Struthio camelus: one gene and its partners. The protein of the gene in region 2 interacts with the protein of the main gene of each other region in a biochemical or structural test. Links are inferred from orthologs where the notes say so. Each region holds a gene or a part of one and is shown on either strand. Other genes may lie near its edges.

Region 1 (7,204 bases), on a different chromosome or scaffold from region 2:
TAGGTACATCAATGGCATTATTAAATAGCGGTCAAACTTATCTATGCCATGGGCTTTTAGTAACATTCAGTCAGACTAATCAGAAGACTTCAGTCAACTGCAGTCTATAACTGCATGATTCCAGCTTCTTTACCACCTCTTCCAGAAGTCCCTGATACCTATGAAGTACTCAGTTCACTCACTCAGATTTAAAAATAATTCTGTAAGCCAATTACTGAAGCAATAAAGATGTGAAAATAAAAAATTGTTTTCAGTTGCATTCACTCACTATTCCATGTCTATTTTTAGACTCCATCTCGACTTGGAAATGAAGCGATGAGTAACAGCAATTCCTTTTCCACTAACTTGCCATTGCTTAGCAGCAACAGTACATCCTGCACTTAAATGAGAAATACTGCCTCCCTCTTCCCTTCCTCCCAGAAAAATCGCTATTAACTATTAAAGAAAACCACATGGAAGGTTTTTACCCTCTTCATTTCTCTTTTCTTTCCTCACTTCAATCGTTTTAAATAGCATCTAAGCATGGCTTTGTGAAAGAAGCATGGCAAAAATACATTTGTTCTTAGTGAAAAAATTTCAGCAATTACAATTCTTGTGATCACCCTAATCTGGCCATCCTGCTTTATTTATATGCAGATGAATATTGAAAGTAATGAGAATATCATGTCAAAGACCAGCACTCTAGTTTCCCCGCTTCCCTTTAAGTTATTCCCTTTAATTTATTATGCAGAAATAAAGCATAATGAGTTTGAAATAGAAAGTGTTAAAAGGACAAAAAAAATGCAATCACTTTCAAAGGATTTACTGTTGTTTCAGGTAATACATATTTCTCCTGAGATGCCTTGCCGATTAGTTTCTACAACCACATTTTCCACTTTTTTTTAAAAGCACTTTCTTTCCTTGATGCTCTACGAAAGCAACGGCAAAGCTTACTGACCAAACAGTTGAAAGCTGTATAAACATGCTGTCAAATACAGAAATGCAAAAATACAAAAAAAAGTTTCCATACAGAAGTGTCATGACTTATAAGAAAGGCTAAAAAATCACATGTATGCAATTTGACTATAACAGAGGTAAAGCATTAGGCTATTGATCAGATATGAAACAGCAAAAGTTGATTACAAAATCTAGTATTTAAAGTATTTAACAGAAAGGCTATTTTAAAAATCCCACATTTTCCACCAGTCCAGGATACCCTTTCTATAAAATGTTTAGCTTAAGAGAACAAGGCAGACTCACCAGTACAATGGATCGATCTATATTTAACAGCAGTCATATTTCTAAGACAATCGTTTAACGAAAAGGTCCTGTCAGCATATTTAACTCTTGAATGACCACGTGAGGACGTTGCATTACGTGAAACGACCTTAGAATTACACTGTTACTCGAATGGGGCTCTTAACTTCCCATCGCCTCTCTCTTCCTTTCCCACATGCTTGAATATTCCGGTGTTGGCAGATCGCTGCCGAGGCGGGCGCGGGTTTCCCACGGGCCCCGCCGCTCCCCGCCCCGGCCGGCCTCGCCGCTTCCCAAGTCCACTTCCTCCCCCGCCGCCGACCTGCCAGCGCTCCCAGCGCCCCGCAGCCTTGCGCAACATCCGCAGCCTCCTCCCCGCAGCTCAGACAATCCCTGATGCGGCACTTCACATCCAGATTTTTTTTTTTTTTTGTTCCCAGACCATTATCAAAGGCTGAGAGCTCAAAAGGCTAACGGCGTGCTTTTATCCCAAACATCGCCAGATAACCACGAGAGCTACCAAGATACGCAGAGCCTGCCATCCTTTAGCTCTTCTGCGGGTCAAATTGTATTTTCATATCAAGTGTTTAAACAATACTGAAAAGTGTCAGCGGCATCTGCCCAATCAGAGTTATTGTCCCCGGCTTATATCTTCTATTCAAAAGATAAACCACCTCAGACATTTTAGCAGCCCGACTAAGCAGCTAAAATAAAACCAGGAAAAAGACCTAATTCTCCATTTAAATTCCTCCCCCTCCCCGCCCAAGCGCACACGTTAACCAAAGGCCGACGGTGAACTGCTCTGGAGGGAAGAAAGGACGAGGGATACAGCCGGGGCTGCGATGGGGGGATGGGGACCAACGGGAAGATGCGTATTCCTCCGAGGAATATTTAATACACTTAACATCTCTCCGCGGAAAGGATAAGAGCGTCAAGCAGGCAGCTGCAGAGACGAATAAAGGGGGGAAAGAAACGCCCGCTTAGCCCCAGCTGACACGGTACCAGGCAAGCCGCGAGGGCAGGGGCTGCCAGGCAGGGCAGGAGCTCACAGCCCGCCCCGTCCCCTTTATCTCCGCAGGAAGGGAAGCGGGGGGGGGGGGAGGAGAGGAGCCGCCGGTTAGTTTGGCAACGGCCGGTTACCGCGATGAGGGCGAAAGCTCTCCGAGGAGCCCCCCGCCGGGGAGCGGGGCTGGCGCAGGGGGCTGCGGCGGCGCGGCGCCCCGCGGCGAAGGCGGCGGCCGCCCCCCTTCCCCCCCCCCCGCCGGGGGGGCTCACGGAGAGCCGGCGGCAGCCGTCCGCGCCCCGCGGCGACACAATAGTGGGTCACGGGCAGGGAGGGAAGCGATGCTTCTCCCTCCGCTTCCTCCCCCCTCCCACCCTGACGAGCAGCGGGATCGGGCAGGCGAGGCCGAGGGCAGCGGCAGGAACCGGGCAGCGGCAGCCCAGGGGGGTCGGCACCTCGCCCTCCCACCCCCCGGCCCGGCCGGCGGGACCCTCCCCAGCCCTGAGGGGAGGCGAGAGCCCGGCCCGCGCCCCGCCGCCGCCGCCGCCCCTCACCATGAAGTCGCTGGCGAAGTTGTCCTCCCCATTGTGGTCCGTGTCCTTCATGGCCTGGACGCGCCGGATGAATTTCCTCAGGATCTCCTCCTGGCTCATCCTGCCGCCCGGCCGAGCGGCAGCTCCCGCCCCGCCCGCTCCGCTCCGCGCCTCAAGCCGCCGCCGCGCGAGCCCGTCACCGACGCCGCCGCCGCCCCGGCCTGCCTGCCCCGCGGCCGCGCGCACGGCTCCCCACCCCGCTCACGGCCGCGCGGCCGCCTGCTCCATTCTCTCCTCCTCCTCTTCTTCTCCCCTCCCTCCCTCCCTCCGCCCGGCCCGGCCCGGCCCGGCCCGCCCCGGGAGCCGCCACCGACACAACCACACGACGAAATCCCCACCTCCTCTTCTCCCTCCCCCCGCGCAGGCGCGCCACCAGCCCCGCTGGCGTTTCCTACTCCCGCCCAGCCGGAGAGGGAGGGGGTCGGCCCGCCCCTGCTCCCCGCCCATTGGCCCCTCACGCCTCAGCCCCCGTCTCATTGGTGGCGGCGCACGCTAATCACCGCCTCAGCCCAGCCCCGAGGGGGAGCACCACTGGGAAAGCGGGGGAGGGGAGGCCTGAGCGCGGCTTCTCTTGGCCCGAGTACAATAGCGGGGCTGCCGGGCGCCTACAGCTCCCAGGCTGTGGGGCTGCGGCCGGCGCCGCGCGCGGCATGCCGGGACCTGTAGTCGCGCCGGGGCGGCGGCGCCCGCCGGGGCAGCCCAGCGGCGGAGGCGGGGCTGCGGCGCGGGTTTGTCCGTGTTACCGTCTCGCTGAGGGTCCCCGCTGAAAAGCCCGGCGGGAAGTGGCCCCTCCGCGGGTGGGGGGAGGCAAGGCTCAAGCCGCGGAAGGAGGCCGAGGCGGGGTGCAGGGCTGCTGCCGCCGCCCGCCCCGGAGGCCGAGCGGGCCGCGCCGCTGTGGTAAACCGGGGCGGCGGGAAGATGGCGGGGGCAGCGGGCCGCGGCCCCGCGCCGGCGGCTGTTTTCCCCCTTTTCTGTGTTTGCGCTCATCCGACGAGAGGCGGCTGGCGGCAGCGCTGCCCCGTGGGTGTTTCTAAGGCGCTGGGGGTCCGGACCGTTCCTTCTTCAGTGGGGACCTTTGTCGTCGCATTCAGAGTATTGCGGGGAGTCTAGATCTGGTTTAAAAAGCTCTGACAGGAGGAGGGGTTTTTTTTTTCTTTCCTCCAAAAAATGCTATGTTGTTGCGAGGGAAATGTCTTCAGGGGCGTCGATCCTTTTTACTTGAAAATATGTTTTGCTTTCTTAAAGTTGGTAATGTCAAGACGTTTAGAGCCAGTAAGATGAAGGAGTGTTATTTTGGCCCTTCTTTTACATTAAGAAGTTAATTTATTGTGATGTGTTATTATGATTAATAACATCATGTCTACAATGTTAGTTCTGCTTTTATATCGGGCTTAATAAACTCAGAAGGGAAAAATGTAAATGTCAGAGTGAAGCAGTCCAATCTTAGCTAAAAATACCTAATGCTTTTCAACAAAGGTTTCAAAGTTAAGGTGTTCAAAAAAAGCAGGAATTTTCACCCACTGTACGTGCAAATCCACCTGTATTCTTTTTTTGATAAGATAAAATGATTAAACTCATTAAGATATTGTCCACAGGTTTAGTTCCCTGATTACATTTATAGCTTCTGCTTCAGGAAAACAAAATAATTCTATGTGTGTATATATAGCCTTATAGCATAATAAATATACTTAGTAATGTTTTTAAGCATCATTTTATTGGTAAAGAGCTGCACAGTCTTTATTGATGTAGTTAGTACAATAAAATTTTGTAACACAGGCTAATAAAGAAGCTCTATGTGAGCAGCATAACCCCATAAAGGCATTTCTACCAAATCACTCATTCTCTACTACTAATTCTCACCCACAGTAGGATGTTGCCCTCACAGCTGAGCAAGCAAAACAGTTTGTGGGACCATACACCGAGCCAGGTCAAGGAGCTGATTCAGCTGAAATACAACCCAATAGAAAAGGTATGGGTTTTTTTTCCTCCTCTGAGATGATACCGTTAAGCTGGCTTTGCTACTGAAACAAACCTACATAAAACTTGGCCTTCCTATTGAGATCTAAGATATTGCCATCTTTGATGACTGCTAAGGATTACCACCTTGATAACAGAGTCAGCAAAATGGCGTGTTTTCCACCCTCAGCCCAAATCACTGTCCATCAACTTAACGTATATTCCTAGCGAAGGGAAGTTTTGAGCCAAGGCAAAGGACTATGAACTATGCAGCTGCTGGTGCATGGACACACATTTCTTTCTGCTGCAGAAGCAATCATCTGTGGCAGAGGGCCAGGCTGGAAAATTGGGAGGGTTTGTGTTCTTGCATGATTTACTAGAGACTTCAGCCTCTTGCAAAGGGCTTTTTTTTAGCAGTTAGTGGTCTTGGAGGCTAATGCATGAGGGACAGAAGGACACATCAAGGAACTGGGAAAGGGAGTCAGTGTTGTGCTGAGGTACTGAGTCTTGAGGAGCTCCCTTGTGCATTGAAGCCTCAACGCCACTGCACAAAAGTAGCGTGAATATCCAACACAATCACGTCAGCTGGGAGAGCCTGGTTGCCCTTTCATGTCCTTTCCTTCAGTCTCTGTGAGATAATCAGCCCTGAAGAGCCACAAAGATGCCTGCTTTTCTTTAATCTCTCTTTTCCTTCTCCTCTTCTTCTCCTCTTTTTCTCCTACCTTAAAGCAGCATTAAGGGGAAACAGGAAAAAAAAAGAAAAAAAAAAAAAAGGACATAGCCATAGATAGAAAGGGCACAATAGTGATCACCCGGAAGGATAGATATGACTTGGAAAGACCAGTAAGGATACAACAAAAACAGCAATATGTAAGTAATAATAGGGACAATAATGTGATGATTCTTCATATGATCTTTTCATACCACTTTAATTTCTTTTTGCTTCAGGAAAGTTGCTTAATTTGCTCGGTAGTTGCCTGGCAAACCTGTTCAACGGGCCAGAAGGCATGAAACTGTAAAAAAATGATCGTTGGGACTAAGCATGGATGAAAAGTCTTGAATGTGGTATGGTCTTCCTCACTCCACTCACTCATTCACATGATAAGAGTTACAGAGGACTTGAGGGTGACAGAGCATTGGAACAGGTTGCCCAGAGAGGTAGTGGAGTCTCCTTCCCTGGAGATATTCAAAACCCATCTGGATGTGATCCTGGGCAATATGCTCTAGAGGTCCCTGCTTGAGCACGGAGGTTGGACTAGATGATCTCCAGAGGTCCCTTCCAACCTAAACCGTTCTGTGATCAGCAGAGGAGGAAAGGTCATAGTTTCTTGCATTGGTTCTTATGTCGTCGTTGCCTTACATCAAAAATACACACGATATTGATCTGGACTGGTTCATAATCTGTTGTTGCGAGTTTAAAACAGTTTATTACAGTGCAAATGTAACAATGACCTTTCATTTGAGTTACCTAATAAGAAGAATATACAATCTCAAAAAAAATAAAAAAAAAAAAAAAAGCCCCCCAAACCAGGCCTGTGTCACCAGCCAAAACAAAGGCATATACAAAACAAAGAAATTTGAAATACCTGGGTGGAGAACTTTACTTAGCATTGTTTGCATAGGCATGTGTACGTGTTAGAGTTGCCAGATATTCCTGAGCACAAACCCAACAGCACTAGTTTTACCCGGTTGCGCTGGGCTGTCTCATCTCTCTGGCGTGAACACAGAAACCTAAACTTTCAGCAGCAGAAACAGTGCTTGAACCCAGACTTTTGATCTGAAACTCAAACTGTCTGAGCTAAACCCAGACGTCTGACCAATCTAGCATGTGTGCATGAGTCTATATATGTGTAAAAGTAGGAGAGAGGCGGAAAAAGAGAGCAAGACACAGGGTGAATTACTCACCCTGCAGATAGAACAGGAAGCTGCAACCAAAATCTGTAGAAGTACATGGTGGTTGTATCTTAACAATCCATACAAGTATGGTCCTTGGAGAGACTCAGGTAGCTCACCTGCAGCTTTTTTGCTATTAATCTCATTTTGCCTTCCCCCACACAACTCCAGCTGCTTGCAAGGACAGAGGGCAGCCATTTTTTTGTTCAGAGATAGCTTCTTCTGTCCCTACAAGGTAAGCATGTGTCATTAACTAGTAAATGTGTTTCGTGGCACAGACAGCATTCTTGTGCCCAGCCAATGGATGGGTGTAGGAAGAAGTAGCAGGATCCCAAACTTCCCAGCTTGCCAAGCTTCAGAGTTTGCCTGAAGACTGTGGTGGGGCATAGTCTCACCGCAGAACTGTCTGCAATATCAGTTTGGGCTCTGGTATGGGCTTGGACTCATGCTCAAAAAATAGCACAGATCCTACCAAAACTCTGTTCCCTAAAGAAATCAAAGAGAGCTTTTGAGCTGCGGGGGA
Region 2 (7,763 bases):
CACAAGGACCAAAGCGCCAGCTCACTGAACCAGCTGCCGGAGCAGGGAGCATGGCGCTGCCCTCCAGCCCCGCTGTGCGTCCACCTCACCCTCTGCCTCCTGGCCCTTCGCTCAGAGAGTTGGTAGAAAACTGGTATCAGCTACCAGAAAGATCCAGCACAACCAGCTGGGAGCTTTCAGCAGCGCAGGGCTCTTCCTGCCAGGTGCAGGCTGAGCCCGCCAAGCTTGTGACACGTAGGGCAGGATCATGGCCATCAGGAGCCAACAGAGCCATCGGAGGCAGGTCCCTGGCTGGAGCGAGTGCTTAGACAGTCTCCTTGGCCGGAGGGGCTTTCAGGGCGTGCGGTCACAGTTTACAGCGCAGCACTGGGCCGGGGCCTGGCTAGCGGGCTAGCAGCAGCCGAGACCACAGCTGCGTGGCACAGCACCCTGCGGCACCCACAGCAGACACCCTTCCAGCACATCTCCCTCTGCCACGGTGCTTTCCCCTCCTAGAGCTCAGCGCCTGTGGGGGCCCCCAACCGAAGGGACCTGCAGGGAGCCCCAAGGAGCAGCAGGACCAGCCCAGAGGGTGCTCAGCTTACAGGCAGGGCTAGAAGTCACAGTCTTGATGGGGCCTGCCCACGTGGGGCCAGTTCCAGCTGCCCAAACACCCCAGGTGTCCAAGGCCAGCTGTTCGGAGAAGCAAAAGGGCCCCCAGCGCTGCTTTCGGCCTACGAGACCCCCCGGCACCCCTTCTCCACCCGACGCTGCGCTGCCATCACCCGCTGGCCGCAGACTGGCAGGTCTGTGGCCCCAGCAGACCAGGTGACCGCACGGCCGAGGCACCTCCGCTTTCCAGCCCGTCACCGCTGTCAGCGCGAGCGCCCTGGGACCGACGAGCCGCAAGCCAGGCTGCTCCCCAGGAGCCACCCCGCTCCGCTGCCACCGGGAACCCAGGGCACGGCAGACTCAATGACAGGGCCAAGCTTGCGCGAGGAGGGGGGTGGCAGCTCGCAAGTCCCAGCCCAGGGCCCTAAGCCGGCACAACGCGGGAAAGCAGCCGGGGAGACGGCAGCCTCCAGCCGGCACCCACGTCTACGACGTTAGAGAGGAGGGGAAAAGCCGTGCCAGTAGGGCACGAAAACGGCGGGTGCCTTTGGCACGCTGGGCGCTGCTTTCCAGGAGAGACGCGTGTCCTGGGCGCTGCGCTTCTCTCTCGCCAAGGCAAAGGGGTGGGAAGAGGACTCTGCTCCGGGCTCTTCCACCTCCTGCCTGCAACCTGCCCGCATGACGCCTGGCTTAACCGCCCGCTGCGGACTGTGCCCTGCCTGGGCCCATCCCGGCTGCCAGGGGAAACTCCTGCCTGGAGAGGGGAGCGCGGGCGCCTTCCCCCCCGCCGAGCAGGCAGGAGGGGCGCATCCTGAGCCACGGACCCCCGGGGCTGCCGAAGCCCCCCACGGCGCTCCTATGGAGCGGGCCCACCTCCGTGGGTGACGCTGCCCGTGCCACCCGTCCGCCCGCACCAGGCAGCGGTGGCGCTCGGTGGCACCGCCGGGGAGGCAGCGGGTACCCTGACCGCAGGGCCGCCGCGCTTCGGGGACTGCCCAGCACGGCAAGGGTGCTGCAAGGCCGGCACGTCCCCTCGTCCCATCCCGTCCTGTCCCCCAGCCTTGGCCTCGCTGCGCTGATTAGCTCCCGGTGAATCATTAACAGCGGCGGGGCCGCGGGGCTGACGCGCACAGGAAGGGCATTCGCACGCCCACAGGAAGACCGGCCTTGCCGAGCTCCCTCTGCTCTCCCGGCCCTCAGCGAGCGGCTTCCTGCGGAGGCCGGCCGAACTCCCGAGGGCTGCCGGTGCGGGGGGCCGAGCGTCCGCCGCGGGCCAGGCTGCGTGGCGCGGCCCCGAGGCAGGATAGGGAGCCAGGCTGGTGCAACCGCCTCCACTGACCCCCCCCCCCCAAGGATGCTGTCCCACCGGCTGGGTCCCACCTCACCCCCACCCGTCCGGCAGGGCCATCAATTACCGAAAAACACCCGGCGGTTCATAGGGACCCCCAGTGCTGAGGCGACAGCCCTGATACGGCCCTTCCCCGCTGCACCACAAAACCGGGACCTGCGGCCGGCCCGCAGCCGGGGACGAGGGCTGGGGACCTCGGTCCTGCCTGATTCTGGGCGAGCAGGATGGAAACCGCAGGGCTGGCCTTGCGGGGAGCATCTCGGGTCAGCTCAGCTGGCGCGAGCCCGGAGGAGGAGCGCGGTGCGGCAGGGAGCCCCGGGGGCCGGCACCGACCCCGGCGAGCAGCTCGCGTCCCGCGGGGACCGAGCCCGCAAGGTCAAGTCCGCTGCCGGGGTCCCGGCGGCACCGGGCAGGGCCCCGGCGGGCCTGAGGTCAGCGGCTGGGGAAAGGGACTCTCCAAAGCGACGTCCGGCCTGAAGGCTCCCGAGGAGGCGAGCCGGGGCGGGGGGGGGGGGAGCAAGGGGACGGGCGCGGCCTTGCGCCCCCCGTGGACCCTGCCCGCCGGCCCGGGGCCGCGCACGCAGCCCGGCGGCAGCGGGGCTGAGAACGCGCGAGCTCGTTACGCTGGTGCCGCCGCACAGCCGCGCTGCCTCCTCGCCCGCCTCGGCCTCGCTCCCGCGCCCCTCCGCCCGCTGCCCTGCGCGGCCGCCCCGCGCCACGCGGCGCCGGGGGCAGCGGGAACGCGCCGCCGCGGGGGCACCGGCCGGACCCCCCCCCCGCCTGCCACGTCCGAGGGCGGCGCGGGGCCTCCCCGCCGCGGCGGCCGCCAAGGTCACCCCGCCGGGCCCGGCCGCGCTCCCCGCCGCCGCCGCCCCTTTGTCCCCCGCCGCCGCCGCCGCCGCCGCCGCCCCGCCGCCCGCGCTCACCAAGTAGTTCATTTTCCTGCCGCGGCGATGCGGGAAGGCCCCGGCCGGGCGGCAGGGAGGAAAAGTTGCGCTCGGGCTCCCCGCCGGCCCCGGTCCCGGTGGCGGTGCCGGTGCCGGTGGCGGTGCCGGCGCGGCTGCCCTAGCGCGGAGCCCCCGCGGGCCGGGGCCGGGGCGGCGGCGGGCGGCGCGGCCTGGCGCGGGCGGGCGAGCGGCGCTCTGGCGGCGGCCGCGCCGTAGGTAACATTATAGCGCGGTGCCCAGCCCGGTCCCGGCAGCCCCCGCCGCCCGCCCATTGGCTGCCGGCGCCGCCGCGGAGCGGGAGGCGGCGCTGCTGCGCCCGCCGCCGCCGGGGCCGGGCCGGGCCGGGCCGGGGGAGGGAGCGGCGGTGCAGCGGGGGCTGCCCCGGGCCCGCCACGGGCACGCGTGTGTGCGCCACGGGGCTGTGGAGGCCGGGGGGGTGCGCCACGGGGGTGTAACGGCTCCGTGACAGGTGTGCGTGTGTGCGAGGGGTGTGTAACAGGCGGGGGGGTGACCCCGGTGTGAGGGGCAGGAGTGTGTGTGCAACGGGGCGTGTAACGGGGGTGTGACAGGCAGTGCGTGCGCGTGTACGACGTGTAATTGGCAGCAGTGCGTGCGCGTTACAGGCACGTGCCAGGAAGGTGTGTGGGTGTAGGTGACGGGGGTCTAACAGGCGGCGTGTGTGTGTGTGTGTGTGTAGCAGGCATGTCATGGGCATGTGACAGGAAGGGTGTGCGTAACCCGTGTGCAAGGGGCAGGGGTGTGTAACGGGTGTGTAACGGGGCTGTGTGTGCAATGGGTGTGTAATGGGCAGGGTGCGTGTAACGTGTGTGCGCACAACAGGGAGCGCGTGTTGGGGTGGGGTGTGAAGCACAACGCATGTGAAGAAGGTGTACCGCGGCTGTAGCGGGCGGCGGGCGATGGGCACGGCAGGTACCGAGCGGGGTAAGGGGCGGTGCGCGCCGGGGGCGTGCGAGGGGCGTGCGAGGGGCGTGTGTGCCTAACGGGAGCGCTACGGCTTTGCGTACGCCGGGCAGGTAGCGGGGGGTGGCGGCCGGAGCCCTGCGGCGTCCCAAAACGCCGCGGCGTCCCGCGGGGGGGGTGACGCGCCGGCCGGGAAGGGCCCTGGCCCGCTGCCGCCCCGCGACGGCGGCTCGGGGTTGGCGGCTCTCGGTTGGCGGTCTGGGGTGCCCCGAGCCGCGCCGTGCTCTGCCTGCGCCCCGCGAGTCCCGGGCAGGAGCGGAGCGCCGAGGCTCCCGGCCCCGTGCCTTCGGTGGCCTCGTGCTGCTGAACAGCAAGGGCAGGAGCGAGCGCCCTGCGGGAGCGGCCTCGGGAGCAGTTACCCCCGCGGGCAGCGCCGGGCGGGGAGGCGACCAGACCGGGAAACGCCGGCGATGGGAAGCGTCGGGAGGAAGAAACCGTTTGGGACTTTCTCCGGGTAAAGGGCAGGAGGGCAGCTGGAGCTCCAGCGGCCAGCGACGGGCGTTGCTTAGCTTGCGCGGCCTGCGATACGCTCGATAAAGTCATCATAGCGCTAGGTGTGTTTGTTTACCTTGGCTTGTTTAGGGCAATTCGGCCCGAATCCTGCCTGGCTCCCTCGGGCAGGCGACGCCGGGTCCCCTCTGGCACCCCCAGGGCCGCCGCGCTGGCGTTCCCGCCGAGGCGCCCCGGCAGCGTCGAGGGGGGCGTCGTGCGGGGCCGGCCGGCCGGCCGGTGCGGCATCGCAGCCGCCCCTCGTCGCCCCCGTCCCCAGCAGCAAGCCCGGACGCCTTGGCAAGGCTGCGCGGGCAGAGGGGTGCGCTCAGCCCCGGGGGCGCCTTTCCGGCACGTTCGCAGCCCGACGGGAAGGACTGAGCCCCCGCCAGGGCGCCCCGACGGCCGGCCGGTCCGGGCTCGGCGGAGCCGAGGCGGCAGCCCTGCCTGCCTCCAGCCCAGCCCGGCCGGCGGCCCCGAGCGGCGTTGCGCCCGAGCGGAGCAGGCGGGCCGGCGTGCGTGAGCGGCCCGGCGGCGAGCGAGCAGGCGCTCTCGCCGCGGCATGCCAGGAATGCACCTCTTCCCGCGAACATGCCTCCCGGCCACGCGTTCCCCAGCGATGGTATTTCCTCGCTGGAAATCTCACCCTCCGGGGTTACCTTTGCTCCTTGTCGGGGAGCAGCGGCGTCGAGGCCGCGTTGCAAACGCCGCCCTCCCCCTTCCCTTCGCCCCCCTCCCCGCTGCCAAGAGCCGGGCTCGCTCGGCTCGCGCCGCGTGGCCTGGCCTCGCCAGCAGCGCCGGGCAGCGGCGGCGCCCCGACACCCTCCCCTTGGCGACGGGCGCTTCGCTGTGGCGGCGCTCCCTGTGCTTCGAGTCGCCCCCCTGCCCCTTGCTGCTGCCTGGGGAAACTGAGGCACGGGAGGCGCAGAGCGAAGCGTGGCAGCAGCCGCCGGGTCCGAGCAGCATCCGCCGAGAGCAGGGGGCTGCGGTCGCGCCGGAAACCGCAGCCACCCCAGCGGGCAAATGGTTTCCTCTTCCCCGTGACAGGAGGCGCTGGCGGTTTGGAGGGCGCCCCGGCGAGTGCCGGGTCCCGCGGCTCCGGCTCGCGGCAGCTCCCGGCCCCGCGGCGGGCGGCCACCCGGGGCCAGGCGAGGCCGACGCGGCGCACGGGGCAAGGCCGTACCGCTGGCCCCTGCCCCAGCGCAGCCCCGAAGGCAGGCTCCGGTCTCCGCCAGGACACCCCCGTTTTGGGATCCTCGGGGTCCCAGCCCTCCCTGCAGGAAAGAGAGAGAAAAGAGGCAGCGAGGGGCCGGGCAGGAGGGTCGCTCAAGCTATAAATAGCTGCGGGTCTTCAGGCGCATCTCAAGCAGGCCTTTTCTCCGGCGAGGGGCGCCCCGGCGGGCGGTGCAGCCCCCGGCTGCGCTCCCGAGGAGCAGCCCTCGGCCTCTTCTCCTCCTCCTTTCCCTTTTTTCCCCCTCCCCTCCCGTTTTTCCGTCTGCGCGTCCAGAGCTGGCGGGCGCTGCAGCGCGGCGCTCGCAGTTGAAAGCTCGCCACCAGCTCTTCTGCCGCCGCGGCAGAGCGGACGAGGCCTTGGCGGGTTTTCCCTGGAAACTCTGAGCGCAGGCGGGGAGGCCGCGAACGCCTCTCCCGGGCTGCTCTCGCCGGGGCTCGCACATCCCCGGCTCCTCGTGCCCCTCCGCCTTGCCCCGCGGAGCTCCTGCTCCTGGCTCTGCTTGCGCGTGGCCGGGCGGAGGGACAGCCTGCTGCATGCACCGGCGCTCGGGGCACGCGCACAGCCGTGCACGCGAACACGCGTGTGCACACACACACACAGAGCCACATAAACGCGCAAGGACGTGCGCGTACACCTGGACACACACGCACACGCGCGCACGCGTCTGCTCCCTGCCGCCCCAGCCGCCTCTCTGCTCCACATCTGCCCCGTGTCCAGCTGTGCCCAGCTGTGCGCTTGCCCAGGTCCCGGCAGCCCCGGAGAAACGCTGTCCGGGTGCTCCGGCGTAAAAGCTCCTGCTGCTACGGCCTGGGGATACCTGCCCCAGCGCCACCCTCTAATGGAGCAGGATCTGGCCAGCCCATGGGGCTTCTCCGGGAAATCACTGCCTTGGGAGAGGGGGAGCTGGGGGGGGGGTGCTGCCAGTGGGCCAAATCCTGCAACCCCCCCCCCCCCCAGCCTGGGGGCCAGCGCCGACCGGCCGAGAGCTCCCCGCTGGCCGGGGCCAGGGCTAGCAGCAGCAGCGTGGTTCATTCATGCTCGTCTGAAGTCTCGCTCCGAGGCGCGATCGGGTGCCACAAGGCTCCAAACACCAAACAAAGCCGAACCGGGCGGCGGCGGCGGGTGCCTCCCGCGCGGGCTGATGTGCCGCTTGCAATAGGCGTCACGTATTGATTAAATAAATCTGCGAGCAGCAGTTCCCGGGCCAGCCCGTGGCGGGGGGCGGGGGGGGGGGACGCGGCTGGCTCTGGGGAGGAGCGAGTTCGGTTCGGCCGGCGCGGGGGCCCGCGGGCAGCCGGAGGGTCGGGCCTGGCTCCGGCCTCCCTCGCGCTGGAACAGCTTCAGTCGGGAGCCGGCCGGGCACGGCGGCGCGGGGAGCGGCTCGGAGCAGCCGGCAGCCTGATCAAAGGCCTGCAGCGGCCGCTGCCAGCGATTAACTCCTCCGTCCTCCCCCACCAACCCTTTCCCGTCCTTGATACACCCGCCCCGGTCCCCAGCAGATCGCAAACGATGCAGACCGGCCCCCGGGCCGCGCCGTGCACGCAGCTCGTGGGCATCCGGCGGCTCCTGGATCTGCAGGAGCCTCTGCCCAGAGCAGGTAGCGGCTCCGGGTTTGGCTCGTGGCCGAGCGCCCGAGCCCAGGAGCTTTGGTGCTTAAAAGCACCAGGAATATTTTACGCTCCCCTCAGATCAAAGCGCCCTGTGGCTATATTTGATGCCGCTTTTGCTGCTTTGGAGCCAAGATCGCTGCCGGGAGCTGCCGAGCACCCGGCGCTGGCAAAGGCTCCCTGCAACGCCCCGGTTTCCGTCGTGGCAGCGCTGCTGTGAAGCACCCGCCGGGGGCACAGGCAAGGACAGGTTTCCCTTCTGCTTTTCCCACCTCCAAGAAAATCGAATGCCAAAAAGAAAACAAAAAATGCAGCATTAGGGCCTTGCGACTCCGAGATACGCTCGGAGCCGCGTTCGCGCAGCCGGAGCGTCCCCGCGGCGAGGACGCAGCCGGCGGCGGCGAGTTACGGCGAAGGCGCTCGGCCCAGCCAGCGCCTTCCCTGGCCGGGGGGCCGCACAAAGTCCCCTCTGTCCTGCTAATCGCCCCGGATTAACGTTTCGCGGCCATAATCCACCGGAGCCGGCAGACAGAGCGAGCGGGGGGGGTGCATGTTTTCGGTCGGCG
Region 3 (8,062 bases), on a different chromosome or scaffold from region 2:
AATAAGTCTCATTTTATTCATTATCTTCTATAATTAATTCCTCTACCATACAAGCACAGGCCAGGGCCTGACTGGCCCTTTTTGTATACTGGGCCTCTGAACAAACTTCACATGGTCTCATGGTTCTTGTGGCAAGAGGGAGAAATGAGGGAAAAAACAAGAAAATGAGGGAGGCTACTGGGTGTTTTTAAAAAAAAAAAAAAAAATTTGAGAATTCAGTGTTTACCCTGTTTTTGACCAGCTGTAGTTGAGAACCAGAACAGTTCCACTAAACATACAGTACCCAAGATATGATTGTCACATGCTGACATACACAAATACTTAGAGAAGTTCTTCTTTTTGAGATGTTTTTGCCTCCTTCCTGTGATTATTTATGCTTTAAAAATATTTATATATTAAAATTGTATTTTTTCACAACCATACTATTATCGTAGATTAGCATAGCTTCCCCTCATCCAAAAAAATGAAGCTTGGACACTTTTAGCCCTTCAAAGTCACGTGGCACCCAGACAAGCCTCCTTGTAGCCATCCTTCAAATTAGCTTCAGCTCCCTGTAGTATTCATAATTCCTTCCCTAGATACAGGGCAGTTCTGTACCTCTAGACAATAGATTTGAACAAGAAATAAGAGGAAGAGACTCGGTTAGTAAACTGTTATGCTTCATTCAGAACACTGGTATACATTTTAGGCATTTGGTAGTTACCTTTGTAACATCTCGATACTGGAAGCTTGTGGCCTGATTAATCTGGGGGAAGGCTTTTTTCAGAAATACAAGACTGCACCAATAACACACATTATTGCACTTCTATCATTTTTCATGCAAAGACTGGTATTTGTAGGACAAGTGAAACATCAATATTACACCGCAGACATTAAAAACACAGGTTAAAACCAAGTGCATTGTTACTTGAGATATACATGGTATGTCAAATGTCAACACCTGATACGTAAATGCAGGATGCAGAAAGCCACTGAATTACATGACACAGATGCACAACTTACTAACCAAACAACTTAAAAAAAAAAAAATACTCAAACCCACCTCTCATGCTTGTCAGTAGTTGGATGCAAATCAAAACAATGACTTCCATCTTTTTTGAGTTGAATTTTAGCCCTCAAACAAACCTCACTCTGTGCCACAGTGCAGTGGGACAAAAATAACACTGAATGGTAACCCCACACTGAAAATATGCCACAGTCCCTCATTCTTATTAAACTTAGGCCTCCTTACACATTTCACTTCTGTGATGAAATTGTGCCCATAGAAATATACCATCTCCATTACATAGCTGTATTACTCAAAATCATTTCCTGAGCACTGAGCCTGCAACATACCAACTCGTCAAGAACAGTTTAGTAAAAGCATAACGTCATATACGCACATGACTTCAACTGATACAGAGTTAGCAAGCACTGGAACACTGCAGGAAATGAAATACCCCAAAAATGGATCTTCTGAAAAGCATACTCAAAATGTCATGCTTATTCTCCATCTTTAATTGCCAAACAACCGGAGACTGGAGATGTTCATCCTGCAAGGTACTACTTTTAGAACTTGCATGCCATGATTCTGAAACTGAACTTCATTTACTTCACTTTGATAAAACTCCACTTATTTTTTTAAATGCCTGTTGCCAGAGAAATTCATAGTGAAAGGGAAAGCTCAACTTCTATGTTACAACATATGAATTTAAAACTCATTAGAATATCTAATATACCAGCCTAAGTACTCAGACGGATTTTACAGTAGTGCTACCCAATCTCACCGAACCACATCAGCCTAACCATTCATGTTCTTCATCTTATCTTATACTTCATTTTGGATAAGTGGTTGCACAAAGAACTTTTTACAGATGAAAGCCTTAATTTCTGCTGCTTGTACTTCTGGAGTTGTATTCAATTTGCAAAAATTTTCACAACCATCCACATTTGCCACATAATTTTTTTAAAACATCTGTCGCTAAACAGCTGAAGACAGTAAACAATTTAATGAAGCATTATTACTATTAATAAAAAAATACAACTAGATGATTGCATAAATATTACTAACAAACCATTTTAAAGAACTACTGTATTATAAAAATGACTGAAAAGCCAGGTGTATGTAACGCTGCCCATCGCAGTTAAAAAAAAAAAAGTACAATACACAAGCTATACTCGGATTTACTCCCTCAAGGTTAGGAAGCGAGCAGTTTTAAAGGGTTACTGAGCAATTCTGACCATGCTTAGCTCCCCCCTCCCCCGTGGAACCTGGAACAAGAAGAGCGTGCTTGAGAGATCAAGCACAGAAAACTCTTTGCATGCTCCCTCCGCAGAGGCGAGGAGCTGGAGCCTCCCTGCCCCGGGAGCTTGAGGACCTGGCTCGGGCCGGCAGCCCGCAGGGTCGGCGCGACGGAGCGAGGGCCGAGGCGGGGTGGCGGCGGCCAGCAGCCTCCGCCCGCGCCAGCCTCGGCAAGGAGGCGGCTGAGGGGCTTCTTCGCTCCGGGGGAGCCGGGAGGAGAGAGGCCCCCCCCGGGCACCCCGCGGGACTGAGCTACCCCGCCTCTGCCCGCAGCGCCCGGCCGGCCAGAAGGGGAAGGAGGGCAGAGCCGAGCAGCCCGGCGAGCCCGGCAGGGCGGGGAAGGAGGAGGGCGAGGGCTCCTTCGCAGGGCAGGGGGAGGCGGAGGGCAGCGCGCCCCGACGCCGGGCCCTGGGCAGCCGGGCAGGGACGGCGCGGGGGGCGGAACGAGGCGGCGGCAGATAAGCGGTGAGGGAAGGGCGCTCCCCCCTCGCCCGCCCCGCGGCCGGGGCAGAGCCGGGCCCGGCCGCTGCCCTCACCTGGTAGATGGCGGCCCAGCTGGCGGCCTGGTCGAGCCGGTGGAACTCCTTCTCGATCTCCATGGTGGGGACGCCGCGCCCGGCCTGGCCCCCCGCCGCCGCCGCCGCCCGCTGCTCCGGCAGCTCGGGCTCCAGCTGCTCCCGAGGCCGCGGCTGCCTGCTCTGCATGTCACCCCTCCCTTCTCCCGCCGGAACTACGCAGCCAGCCCCGGCGACGCGATGTCCGGGGCGGCCGCGGGGCCTGCGGAGCGGCGCGGCCGAGGGGGCGCGCGGGGCGCGCGGCGCTAACGGTCGCTAACGGTCGCTGCGCGCGGGAGCGCTCTGTGGTGGGGGGGGGCGGGGGGAGAGGAGCTGCGGCCTCGCTCCCCCCCACCCCCCGGGCGGGCAAGCGAAGCAGCGCCTTGCTCCCGCCGGGGGCACACGGGGGGCCGCTTTGCCCTTGCCCCCCGCCCCGAGGCGACGGTCCGGCTCCGGGAGCCGCTGCTGGAGGCGGGCGAACGGGGCCGAGCTGGCGGGCTGCCGCCTCCCCGCGGCCCCCGCGCCGGCCTGGCCCCGGGCCGCGCCGACAGGTAGGGCGCTCCCGGCAGGGTGCAGGGCCGCAGGGGGATTGGGATGGGGAGCCCCAGCTTTTAACAGATGGCTGGATTAGTTGGGGAAGAGCGGAGCCGCTCGTTTTAGCTCTTCTGATGCCAGGCTGGCGCCTTCTCGTTTCTGAGCCGCGAGGAAGTGCTCTGAGTCATGTGTTCAAGCTCTTCATCTGGGGCAAGAGGAGCAAGAAATTCGAAACAATTTCTCATGCAGTCCTCTGGTTCCAGAGGAAGGAACTGTAGGGAAAACACCAAATCTTGCAGCAGGTGTCTGGTTGTACCAATCTGGTCTGGCAGCGCACAAAATGTGTGTGTATGTGCATATGTTACTTCAAAGATGGGAGAAGACGACTGTATTCTTCCTCACTGCAGTCAGAAGATGGAGAATTTGTTATTCACTGTTATGCAATCTGCAGAGTGAAACATTTTTGTCAGTTGTCCCATACCTTTTCATCTAAAGGAATGTGTGATGCCAGAAACTCAGCGTGGAGTTTGAGCATCTGTCCTCAATTCTTTGATTTCTGCGTCTGTGAAATGCCTATTACTGTGCAAGGAGCTATAGTGCTATCCCAGTAGGTAAACATTCACCATGCTATTGCACCCGTTTAATAAAGCAACTTCAGATGAAGTTGAGGCCTAGATACCTAATATTAGAGAGAGAATCTCTTTCTTCCTGAGTTTCAAGGCAAGATGTTCCAAACATATGGGCACAATTCTCCCATGTATAATGCTAGAGCACACTTTTGTTTCCAAAGCCAGGAATTTCTCCTATGTCGGCCAGTGTCTCTTTGTTGGATTAGTCATTCACAAGTTTTTTGGAACATGCCATTTCTGAGGCCTGGTGCTGGTTTTGCATACCTGGTATCTCTGTAGCATGCGCACTGATCTGAAATGAGGCAGTGAGAGTGGATTTCTAAGATCTGTCATTTTTTTGAGTGAATTCAGCCATAAACGCCCAAGGCACGGTATGAACTGGAGAGAGCAGTGACTGAGGAATGGAAGATATGTCAATGTCACTGAAGACAAGTATTTCATCGCTTAGCAGCAGCCCTTGCTCCACTTAGCCATTGCTGCTAGCGAAAGCTCCTCCTAATCTTTGTACCATGCGGTCTTTGGAAGTGTTCAGCCCCAGAATGCCATCCCATTAGAGACTCATTGTATTAGGCTGCTTAGATGCTCTCTTGAGAAGAGAGCGCTAGTCAGAGATGTGAGATGAGGGGCCTGAAATATGGGAGAGGGTTAATTGCCCACAGGAAAAGGCAAGCTGTGGAAAGTGTCTTAACAGGATAAAAAGACTTAACCGAGATAAGCAGTGAAACATTATTCTCTGGTCAGCTGCTGCGTGTAGTATAGTGGCGTTAGCAGATGGTATTAGAAAGATTTTTTGCGTTTCTTATGAAATGGGCATTCTCTCTATGTGGTTTTTTGGAATTAGGCAATTATGGTATTAGTTCCATGAACAAAAGGGTTCCCGTCCATTCAGAAACCTTTCAGTGTTAGTACAAGCAAAAGGATGGGTGAGTGCATCTCACCTCTCCCTTTTTCTGGGTGCTGTGAGGCTGCATCCTTATCCTGAGTCTATGTGGAGGAAGTGGTGAATTTTTGACCTATTGGACCTGGAGACATAAAGACAAATTTAGCAACTCTGCTGCTTTCCCTTTTCCCTGTTATTTCAGGGTCAAGAATTAACGAACATATGTGGGGAGTCTTGCTGTGTTTCCATGATCCATTCTGAGAGATGAGTCCCTGTAATGTTACCAGAGAGCATTCCTGCAACCTATGGATGGCTACTTCTTATGCAGGCATAAACCTGATCCTACCTAGAACAGGTCAAAGCTTGTAAAACTGTAGCTACATGCAGTTGAATTACTGCAGTGCATAAACATTTTATAAATGCAGATAGCATACAGTCTCTTGTGCTTATGTCACCTGAATGGGCATAATAAATAAAAACAGTACAAATTCTTCAGCCAGTGGTTCACGGACAATATATTTTGCGAAATGTATGCTGTTGTCACAGAATTAATTGCCTTGGATAACAAAAACTCATCTATTGTCCTCAACAAATTGATGTTCAGCTACAGATGTCACAGAGAAATCCAGAAAATAAGAGATTATAAGAACTACCAGTGTATCTTACATTTCTACACAAACCTTCAGTCTATCGCAACTGCGATGTGTGACCAGTAACGTTTTAAAATGTGTTGATCTGGTTCAATGAATGCTTTTCTCTAGTAATTGGAAATTTTCAGGGACGTAAACTGCATTATAAATATTCACCCACTGTTACGTACATAAATGTATGCAAAAGAAGTAAGGAACGATTCACAGCAATGATATACATTGCGACTCATATTTCAGAACAGTATGGCTAATTGGTGCATGTACTATTGAATTATTTTTAGTTTATTTTTACATACAGTTAAAGCAATAGTACATGCAATGACATCCATAGGTAAAAAAATGGCACACTTAAAAATTACAATTAGACGCTACAGTTAGATACTTGTTTATGTTAAATGTTCATCTCTTTGACAGCTTGTGTTGCTAAAGCAATGTTAAGGGCATGTAGGCCACCTTAGAGAAACATCAAGTGCATTCTATAGGTAGCAAATTCTGCAGTTCCTCCTGCTGAGCAGGTGAGAGTGCTCAACCTAGTCCTATTTCTTTGTAACAGTTGTAGGGGCTTGTAGCAATTTTTCTGTATCCCTTAATACAGACTGAGGTGTAGCTACCCACAAAATAATGTGAAGCAGCCTGGCCTCGAGTTGAAAAAGGAACATTAACAGAACAATGAAACTAAGTCTATTATTTTTGTTTAATTTGAAACCCACTAAAATGACTTACCCAATTTAATCATGTTATAGTCTTTATTTGCCTTTCTGCTAACAATATTCAAGATTTTGGGATGACCTAGTTTAAAACAGCCAGTGTCATAAATCCCCATTAAAGTATCTGTAAATAGGATGCATATTGTTTCTTCACTGTTTGATTTTGAACGCAACTTTATATTAAGGCAGTTCCAGTGGGCTGCGTTTCCAGTGTACAGCTGGAAAGGTTGTCATTCACATTCAGCTCACTTTATTCTATTGCAATGTGCATGTTTATTCCATTACTCTACAGCAACCTCTCTTTTTTTATTTAACAGAAATACAGTCTTGTGTTAAACAGAGCTCAGACTTGACTAGCATCCTCTAATATGTCCTTCTGGTGTTGCGTCTTAGGCGTTCCTTGTTCTGATTTCCTTTTTTTTGTTGTAGTTGAAATGTTCAGGATTGTTACTGTGAAAAGTTCAGTTCTATCTTGATTTTCCCCTCATTTATATTACAGCATCACACAAGACTTACGATTCACGTGTTATGTCTTGGATACTTTGAAGCACCTGTTAAGTTCAGAAGCTAAATCTAGTGCAATTGGAGATTGTATTTTGGTGATAATAGACTGTTTTGCTTCTGATTTTATGCTGACATCAGTATCAGTTTTATTACGATGAAATTATTTTTAATTTTCATTACTGTATGCAAGATAAGGATCAAGATTGATATCTTCTAACTCATAGTATGATTTCTGTGGTAAAAGATGTGTTTTAGTTTGCATTTTTTAAATACTGTGGTTAAGTACACAAAGTAACATTCAGGCTCAGCTAACTTGCAGTGACTAATTTCTTTTGCATTTAGAAGCAAAGATGCCTCAAATAATTATTTCCTGTTTTTAACACTTCCTTCTGATCAAAGGGTGAGAATGTGAGGAGAAAAGGTATTGATGGGTATAAGGTTGTATTATTTCTAGTGAGATACCTGGGTGTGTGTATCCACCCTGGGTCTGCAGTGCTCCATGAAAATAATTCCTGATCTTGGCTTTTCTTTCTGTTTTAACTCATAATTAGAGAAGGAGAAGTTAACAGATTTGAACTCAGGTGTGTTAAATTAATGAGGAGAAGGACTTGCTAATCCTGACTCAGTGTTGAATCTGTTAGGGAGAATGTACATCTTTTTATCCAGGACAGCTTCTTTCTGAAACACTTCAGAAGCAGTGCCATAGCTTTGTTGCAGAGTAAGGTCTTCTGTGAGTTCTAATCTGTGTGAAGTATGTGGTTCACTTGACCTTGTCTCCTAATGAAAACAGAAGATACTCTAGAGGCTGGACTTAGTGCTAAAAAGGAGATAAATTCAGGATCGTGGGAGTATAACAAGTGTTAGAAAGTACGTTTCAGTTTGTCAGTGTGCAGCAGAAAATTTCATCAAATACTGAAAATCCTTGCTCCAAAGCAAGCGGGGCACTTAAGGACTGAGATTATGGGAGATGACCATGAACCCTAAATGCTGCAGAATTACTGAAGTTCCGCTGCAGTAGAGCATCTTAGGCAAAGATGCAGTGCAACGCAAAACAAAAGTCCTTGGTGGAAGGAGGAGAGTGCAGCTGTGTAGAAGAATGGCACATATGTTCACAAGCTTCAGATACACTGTCTGCAGAAAGAGTCGGCATATTCATGAATGACTGGGAAAGAAAAGCGACATGAAAGTGGTCTGGTTTGTTAGAGCCTTTGTTGTAGACATGGCCTAATAGGGAGCATGACCAGAATGTGGACAGTTTTATATCACAGGACCAAACTGATGTAGGAAATAAGCTATATCAGGAACCACAGAAGCTGCAGACTG

Evidence for each region.
Region 1: the proteins of BCAR1 (region 2) and PTPN12 form a complex in vitro, tested with the Homo sapiens proteins (3 studies listed by BioGRID and IntAct, with this or other methods). The link is inferred for Struthio camelus from reciprocal best matches to the Homo sapiens genes BCAR1 and PTPN12.
Region 3: the proteins of BCAR1 (region 2) and PTPN1 form a complex in vitro, tested with the Homo sapiens proteins (3 studies listed by BioGRID and IntAct, with this or other methods). The link is inferred for Struthio camelus from reciprocal best matches to the Homo sapiens genes BCAR1 and PTPN1.

The regions. Positions count from the first base shown.
Region 1 is NC_090942.1:13,931,960-13,939,163, forward strand, and holds the start of PTPN12 (tyrosine-protein phosphatase non-receptor type 12), read right to left. Parts: upstream 3,005-7,204; 5' UTR 2,893-3,004; coding exon 2,794-2,892; intron 1,542-2,793; exon of another isoform or gene 1,240-1,541; intron 1-1,239. UniProt on the Homo sapiens protein: Dephosphorylates a range of proteins, and thereby regulates cellular signaling cascades. Dephosphorylates cellular tyrosine kinases, such as ERBB2 and PTK2B/PYK2, and thereby regulates signaling via ERBB2 and PTK2B/PYK2.
Region 2 is NC_090951.1:22,278,282-22,286,044, reverse strand, and holds the start of BCAR1 (breast cancer anti-estrogen resistance protein 1), read right to left. Parts: upstream 3,001-7,763; 5' UTR 2,878-3,000; coding exon 2,866-2,877; intron 1-2,865. UniProt on the Homo sapiens protein: Docking protein which plays a central coordinating role for tyrosine kinase-based signaling related to cell adhesion. Implicated in induction of cell migration and cell branching. Involved in the BCAR3-mediated inhibition of TGFB signaling.
Region 3 is NC_090959.1:10,207,693-10,215,754, reverse strand, and holds the start of PTPN1 (tyrosine-protein phosphatase non-receptor type 1), read right to left. Parts: upstream 3,024-8,062; 5' UTR 2,986-3,023; coding exon 2,818-2,985; intron 1-2,817. UniProt on the Homo sapiens protein: Tyrosine-protein phosphatase which acts as a regulator of endoplasmic reticulum unfolded protein response. Mediates dephosphorylation of EIF2AK3/PERK; inactivating the protein kinase activity of EIF2AK3/PERK.